Linked DNA regions of Macaca fascicularis. The protein of the gene in region 2 interacts with the protein of the main gene of each other region in a pairwise test. Links are inferred from orthologs where the notes say so. Each region holds a gene or a part of one and is shown on either strand. Other genes may lie near its edges.

Evidence for each region.
Region 1: the proteins of PDE4DIPP2 (region 2) and AIRIM interact in binary tests that used the Homo sapiens proteins (3 or more experiments, as listed by UniProt). The two-hybrid records come from large-scale screens. The link is inferred for Macaca fascicularis from reciprocal best matches to the Homo sapiens genes PDE4DIP and AIRIM.

Annotation. Positions count from the first base shown.
Region 1 is NC_088375.1:197,229,310-197,233,668, reverse strand, and holds the start of AIRIM (AFG2-interacting ribosome maturation factor), read right to left. Parts: upstream 2,824-4,359; 5' UTR 2,611-2,823; exon of another isoform or gene 2,371-2,610; intron 2,172-2,370; exon of another isoform or gene 2,171-2,171; 5' UTR 2,041-2,170; intron 1,547-2,040; exon of another isoform or gene 1,483-1,546; 5' UTR 1,287-1,482; coding exon 1,182-1,286; intron 1,111-1,181; exon of another isoform or gene 559-1,110; intron 444-558; coding exon 163-443; intron 1-162. Other genes in the region: CDCA8 (borealin), read left to right, coding at 3,272-3,365, 3,488-3,616. UniProt on the Homo sapiens protein: Part of the 55LCC heterohexameric ATPase complex which is chromatin-associated and promotes replisome proteostasis to maintain replication fork progression and genome stability.
Region 2 is NC_088375.1:114,048,053-114,051,612, forward strand, and holds part of PDE4DIPP2 (myomegalin), read right to left. Parts: intron 3,526-3,560; coding exon 3,313-3,525; intron 577-3,312; coding exon 418-576; intron 1-417. UniProt on the Homo sapiens protein: Functions as an anchor sequestering components of the cAMP-dependent pathway to Golgi and/or centrosomes.

The DNA of each region.
Region 1 (4,359 bases), about 83 Mb from region 2:
ACAGAGGTCTCACTGCCCCAGATGGTAAGTGAGGAAGGTTGAGATACCTCCAAATGCCACGCTTTCAAGGAGAAAAACACCTTCTGGACTGATACTAGCTACATATAAAACACCTCGTTTTAAAATCCTTCCACCAGGAAAGAGCACTATGGAGCTGCTTACAGCCTTTCCCCTAGCTTGTCCAGGACGATGTCACCAGCAGCCAGCTGCTTGCGCCTCAGCCGCTCTTTTAAGTCTGGGAAGGCCCGAAGCGCCGGCACATCCTCGAACCGCAGGTTCTGTGCGGCCTGCAGCTGCTCCGCCAGGTTGCTGAGGGAAGACAGGAGGGGCTGGCAGTCCTGCAGGGCACTCTGCCACAGGCCCTGCTGCTCCTCCACCACCAGGAAGCACTTCTTCAGGGCCTCCTGCACGGCAAGCAGAGGCCGGTCTTGAGTCATCTTCTGCTGAAAAAGATAAAAATAGAAAATAACCACGTTGGGGTGGCAAGTCAGTCCGGGAGGCACTGGGTCGAGGGTGGGCGTCATTTCCGTCCTCGTGTTCACACAGGAGTTGTCTCACCTCCAGAAGTGGTTTTTTTTGTTTTTGTTTTTTTCGACACGGAATTTCACTCTGTCGCCCAGGCTGGAGTGCAGTAGCGCTATCTCGGCTCACTCCAACCTCTGCATCCCAGGTTCAAGCAATTCTCCTGTCTCAGCCTCCCGAGTAGCTGGGAATACAGGTGCCCGCCACCACGCCCGGCTAATTTTTGTATTTTTAGTAGAGACAGGGTTTCGCCATGTTGGCCAGGCTGGTCTTGAACTCCTGACCTCAGGTTTTCCGCCCGTCTCGGTATCCCAAAGTGCTGGGATTACAGGCGTGAGCCACCAGCCCCGGCCCTGCCTCAGCTTTCTGAAGGAGATCCTGGCTTCCCCTTGGGAAGGGTAACCTGGATAGGGCAGTCTCCTGCTTCAGAGGATTCCCGGCGGCCAATCGCCGTCTCTTCTCTGACCTACAGTCCTGTCTCCCCTGCCCGAGGCTGCCGGTCGCGTTCCTGAAACCAGCGGAAAAACTTAAAAGTCAAGACACCCAAAGCGTGAGCACCACGCGCCCATAGTCTCTCTGCGCATGCTCACAGGCGACCGCCCCCAAAGCTCCTCCGCAGGCCTGCAAGGCTATTGAGTCGCGAAAATATATCATAGTACCGAAATTACTTCTGGGTACTGTAGTCCAACATGTGGATTGGCCACTCGGCTTGAAGCTTCCTTGGGACTGGATGTTGGGACCGTCCAAACACGGCGACTTCTCATTTGTCAGCCTGCGGCAGTTTAAATTGGGTGGCAGTGGTGGCATGTCCTCTTAACTGTGGAGTCTTTTCCTCTCAGCTTGCGCCTTCGGCTGTGCCTTAATGACACTTTTGACATTGTGTATCACAACCAACTGGCAAAAACTAGTGAATCACGGGCTCCTGACGTGGCAGCTCTCGCTGAGATGCAGGTGGACATCCTAGGTGCCCAGGGAGGTCGGGCACATTGGGGAGTCGGGTGAAGGAAACCCTGAAACCGAGAGGCTGGAAGCCCAATTTGCCCATCATAAAAACACCTGCTGCGGGAAAGCCTACATGAGGTACGGGTTGTCGTCCCCTCTCATCTTGGCCATCTAACTGATGGAGATCCTTAGGCACCCAGCAGACTCGGGTGTCACCCCCACCACCCACTGCCCAGGGCTGACCTTGGGCGGAAGAGCGACATTCAAATATTTTTTGTATATGGAGCAACAAACCAGGGTGGAAGAGAGAGAGAAAGGACTTTCTAGGAAGGGCCAGGCTTGCCAGGGTTTCTATGCTTGGACTGCTCTGTCCCCAAGCTCGCTGGTGCCCATCAGGAGCCTGCTTGGCACCTTTGCTTATTTCTTTGATTGTTCCTGAACTCAGAGGGGGAGAGGCAAGATTATCACTCCCATAGCCTATAACATGCACGCTTAAACACAAACAACCCCTCTGACATGGCTTCATTCCGCATCCACAGGTGAAAAGCACCAAATCCAAACAATCAGGCCACAAACCTGTCAAGAGCTCGCCGGTCTGGCCGTCCAGTCGTCGCCCGCCTTGAGACTCAGCCTGAGCTACAGCTTCGAAACTAGCCTCTAGCCTTGCTGGGTCTCAGCACAACCCTTGAGCAATCCAACCCTGTGGCTGTGGGCAGATGCAAAGATGCACAGTTAGCACTTCCGACAGGACTGCGGCTCAGCGGGGTTCGAGGTCTACACGCCCATTCCCAGGCCCACGGCCAGAACACCCAGAGCTGCCTCCTGCCCTGGGCTCCCTGGAGTGTGGTGGCCGCGGCTCACGCTGCAGTCACCGCGTGGGCAGCTGCCAAGCGCCACTACTCGCACCTGAAGTCGCGGCCCCGCGCTGCACACCCAGTCGAGGCGCCAAGACGCGAACTGGACGGGAGTGGCCGGCCCGCGGGCAAGCGAGGAACAAGAGGGTTCTCCCCACTCGCTGCCCAAACTGGCCACGGGCTGGCGCGCCCACCCCAAAGCCTGCACCCCGGCCCCGCTCCCCTGTCATTCCGCCTCGACCCCTTCCAAACCCTGTCGGGGCTGCTCTGTCTCCGCCGACCCTCCACTTGCCCCAAGTTCGGCCTGGGGAGCTTGGGGCCCTGAGGAGCGCCGACGTAGGCAGCCAACCAGTCAATCAGTCAGAGTGTCACGGCGGCCCCTCGGCTACTCAGTGGCAGCCAGGCCTGGAAGAAGCAGCCGCCGGCCCCGGAGCAGAATCCTACAGCCGACCTGACCTAGTCCGCTCCTAGCCCTTCAAAGATTGGGGTAATGAGGACCCGCCGCAAGGCCTGCCGGGAGTCGCAGTTTGTATAGTTTGCAGCCGGCCAGGGCGGAGCCGGGTGGGTTGGTGGGGAGGGCGGGGAAACAAGCCTGGACCACAACTCCCAGGAGCACCCGCGACGGCGGCGCCCGCGCTGACGCACTCCGGCTATAGGGAGCGCATTGGGCGGGAGACCCCGGGCAGGTAGGAACTTGCTTGTGATTGGATACTGTGGGACGGCGGTTTCTCATTCGTCAGCCTGTGGCTGTGGAGTTTGAATTAGGTGGCGGTTGACGGTAGAGCCGCTCTCTCTCACTGGCATAGCGAGGTTTTACTCAGTCCTTGTCGCGAGACCGGAGGTACGTGCCTGGCGACTTATTCGGGTGGTCCCCATCCGCCCTCCTGGTCCCTACCTGGTTCCTTGCCTCCCTGCCCCATCTCCGCCGCTCCCCGCAGCCTCCGCCGAGCGCCATGGCTCCTAGGAAGGGCAGTAGTCGGGTGGCCAAGATCAACTCCTTACGGAGGCGGAAGCTCGCCTCCTTTCTGAAAGACTTCGACCGTGAAGGTAAAGGGGCCAGGCCGTCGCGGCCTCCTGGGGCGGTCGCGGGATGCTGGCGGGTGGGGACACGAGCTGCACACATTCACCCGCCCCGTGACCCGTGTCCTGTCGGCTCTGCCCTCCCGCAGTGGAAATACGAATCAAGCAAATTGAGTCAGACAGGCAGAACCTCCTCAAGGAGGTGGATAACCTCTACAACATCGAGATCCTGCGGCTCCCCAAGGCGCTGCGCCAGATGAACTGGCTTGACTACTTCGGTAAGAGCTGGAGAGCTTCCCTGGGCGGAGGCCGGGAGCCCCGTGGGGTTAGGTAACACCCTTCAGAAAGGACTCGCTCAGATGTCACCTTTTAATGAAATCTGACATGACCACTTATGGAAAATTGCAGACCCTTTCACTCTCTGTCTCACTTCCGTAAGTCATGTGTCTCCATCCTTTTCTCTAAAGGCCTAGGTAGCAAATATTTTAGGCTACTTGAGCCGGTGGGAGGGGTCTCTGTCGGACAACTTAGCTCTGCTGTTACAGGTCCAAAACAGCTATAGTGAATGGGCATGGATGGGCTGTATTCCAATAAAATTTTAGTTGTGGATACACTGAAATGTGAATTTCACATAATTTTCACACATCAGGAATTTTATTTTATTTTTTTGGAACAGAGTCTCACTCTGTCACCCAGGCTGGAGTGCAGTGCAGTGGTGCGATCTTGGCTCACTGCAACCTCCACCTTCTGTATTCAAGTGATTCTCCTGCCTCAGCCTCCGGAGTAGCTGGGATTACGGTCTCCTGCCACTATGCCCTGCTGATTTTTGTATTTTCAGTAGAGACGAGGCTTCACCATGTTGGCCAGGCTGGTCTCGCACTACTGACCTCAAGTGATCTGCATGCCTCAGCCTCCCAAAGTGCTGGGATTACAGGAGTCAGCCACTGTGCCCAGCCAGAAAATAGTATTTTTAAAAAATATGTATATTTTACCCAACCCATTTAAAAATGAATGAATAAAT
Region 2 (3,560 bases):
TGCTCCATTTTCCCCTCAAACTTTCATTCCATCATCAAAATGACTCTGGAAGTTTCTGTAGTTTGTCTTCATCTATTAAACTGAGAACAGTAGCCAAATCTTTTGTCTTCCCAACGCCCAGAAAAGTGTGTGACTCACAGAGGTGCTTAATAACTATTTTCTGAATATTAAGTCTTTATAAAAGACTTCATAAAAGACTGCTTAAATCAGGGCTATATGTACTGTTTCTTACACTTGTTAGTAAGCATCTTAATTCACAAATTATACTTTCTATTTATTTTAAATCCTCTTGATTCCCACCTCTCAATGTTTGCCTTATAGCAGGGACTCAACACTGGTGGAATAATATCTTAAATTTATATAAACAAATTTCAGAGTTCTATGAGCCCAGTTTTCATTGAAATCATGTAAACTCACCTGAAGCAATTGCTCCTTGTGACTCAGACTATGGTTTAGGTGCTGGATGTTTTGTTCCCGGGTTCGAATCTCATTGTATTTTTCAGCCTCCCGGGCACGAAGCTGTTGGCTCTTGTTCTGCAATTCTTCTTGTAGCTGCTGCAAGGCTTTCCGCAATTCCTGAATTAAACATATTAAGAGATCTAAAATTGTCACATGGTTATATATAGAGGCCTTAAAATTTTCAAGGTATATAAACTGAAAGAGCGGTAGAGGATGCCATTATTAAAACTGCTATAGAAGTATTATACATGAATTGAATGGGATATGGAAAATTGTAAAAGTTGTGAATGGGTAGGACGTAAGCTTGATAATTATAGTTCAATACTTATTTTTTGGCTTAAAAAGGATACATGTGTAGAACCATTAAATGAGAATCTGTCCTATGGTAAACCTGGATTATTTACAGTAAGCTCAAGGATAAACTATTCCTATCATCCTTTTTTCTAAAGATCTCATAGAGACCATCACTCTTCTTTCTTAGCTTGCCATATTTATCTTTCTGATAAGAAAGTCAGTAACCTTTAAATCATCTGTTACTTTAGAGAGCTCCCAAAATACATATTCTCATCAACCAAACAAATCTTGGGAAAATGTTTCCTTTAGCCAAATAACAAAAAGTTAAGAATTATTTCTACCCCCATCCTCCACCACTCCCTGACCCTGCCCAGACATCTGAAATTTTAATTTTTTTTTTTGAAATGGAGTCTCACTCTGTCGCCCATGCTGAAGTACAGTGGTACAATCTCGGCTCACTGCAACCTCCGGCTTCCAGATTCAAGCATTTCTCTGCCTCAGTCTCCCGAAGTAGCTGGGATTACAGATGCCCGCAACCACGCCTGGCTAATTTTTGTAATTTTACTAGAGATGGGGTTTCACCATCTTGGTCAGGCTGGTCTTGAACTCCTGACCTCATGATCCACTGGCCTCGGCCTCCCAAAGTACTGGGATTACAGGTGTGAGCCACTGTGCCCAGCCGAAATTTTAATATTTCAAAAGGAAATTCAGGGCTAATATTTAATCTCCAAACCACTAAACCAGGGAGATCCTTCAAAAATTACACTTTTAAACCTGAGTGTTAAAGAGCTTAAGAAAAGAGACCACGAAAAAAAAATCTTTTAAATCTTAAACATATACGCTCTAAGCTAACAAGATAAAGGAACCATTTAAGAATTGTGCATTTTGGCCCAGCGTGGTGGCTCATGCCTGTAATCTCAGCACTTTGGGAGGCCAAGGTGGGCAGATCACCTGAGGTTGGGAGTTTGAGACCAGCCTGACCAACATGGAGAAACCCTGTCTCTATTAAAAATATAAAATTAGCCAGGCATGGTGGTGCATACCTGTAATCCCAGCTACTGGGAGGCTGAGGCAAGAGAATCACTTGAACCCGGGAGGTGGAGGTTGTGGTGAGCCAAGATTGCACCATTGCACTCCAGCTTGGGCAACAAGAGTGAAACTCCGTCTCAAAAAAAAAAAAAAATGGCCGGGCATGGTGGGTCACGCCTGTAATCCCAACACTTTGGGAAGCCGAGGCAGGTGGATCACAAGGTCAGGAGATCATGACCATCCTGGCTAACATGGTGAAATCCCATCTCTACTAAAAATTCAAAAAAAAATTAGCTGGGTGTGGTGGCAGGTGGCTGTAGTCCCAGCTACTCAGAAGGCGGAGGCAGGAGAATGGCGTGAACCCGGGAGGTGGAGCTTGCAGTGAGCCAAGATAGTACCACTGCACTCCAGCCTCGGTGACAGAGTGAGACTCTGTCTCAAAAAAAGAAAAAAAGAAAGAAAATAATTGTATATTTTATTATTCAAAAATAAAAAATAAAAGACAGGGCTGATTATTATGCATGTCATTCCTCTGACCTTAGTGATTCTTCCCCACTTTTCTGACTGGTTTTAACCATCCTTCAAGAATAACCTCAGATGTCTCCTCCTTCATGAAGCTTTCCTTGATTCCTTTTCCTTGACTCCTTTCCTAGATATTCCTGTAGGACTCCATATATACATCCCCTTCAGAATTTACCACTCTGAAACTCAGCTTATGCGACTGTCTCTCTTACTGAACTATAAGTAACTTAAATGAAAGGAGCCTGTGCTATTCATCCTTGTATTTCCAGGGCACAACTCAATATGGTGATCACCCCTCAACCCAGAGGGGATACATTCTAGGACGCCCAGTGGATGCCGGAAACCAGATAGCACTGAAGCCTGTGTATAACTGTTTTTTCCTGTACATAGATAACTATGATAAAGGTTTACTTACAAATTAGACATACTAACAGATTAAGAATAACAATAAAATAGAAGAATTACAACAACATGCTGTAACAAAAGTTACGTAAGGGAGGCCAAGGCAGGCAGATCACGAGGTCAGGAGATCGAGACCATCCTGACTAACATGATGAAAACCCGTCTCTACTAAAAATACAAAAACAAAATTAGCCGGGCGTGGTGGCGGGCGCCTGTAGTCCCAGCTACTCGGGAGGCTGAAGTGGGAGAACGGCATGAACCCAGGAGGCGGAGCTTGCAGTGAGCAGAGATCACATCACTGCACTCCAGCCTGGGAGACAGAGTGAGATTCTGTCTCAAAAAAAAAAGTTATGTGAATGTGGTCTCTCTTGAAATATCTTAATGCTTTTTGTCTGTGGTTGACCCCAGATAACTGAAACCATGGAAGGTGAAACTGTGGATAAAGGGGGACTACTCTAACTAGCATATGGTACAAGGGCAGCAAGTGTCGAACTGAAATACTTAGATTATGCAACTGATTCAAGGGTTCAACACAAACTATCCTGCTAAAAAGTTATTATCAGGGCAAAATCAGCATTTAGGGCAATAAAATAGTTAATGATTTACCTGGTTATGTTTCCAAGAAGCCTCTTTCTGCTGTTCACTCTCGTGTGCCGCAGCCTCTACAAACTGCACACATTGTTTGGCGTCAGCCAGTTGGCGCTCTTTCTGTCGTACCACCCTCTGGAGCTTCTGTATTTCCAGCTGGCTGCAGAATAAAGCACTCTGAAGATCAAGCAGAGCCACCTGTTGCTGAGCTGGGGAAGTACCCTCTGAGCTCTGAAAAGAGAGTAGAAATCACAATCACAAGGAGG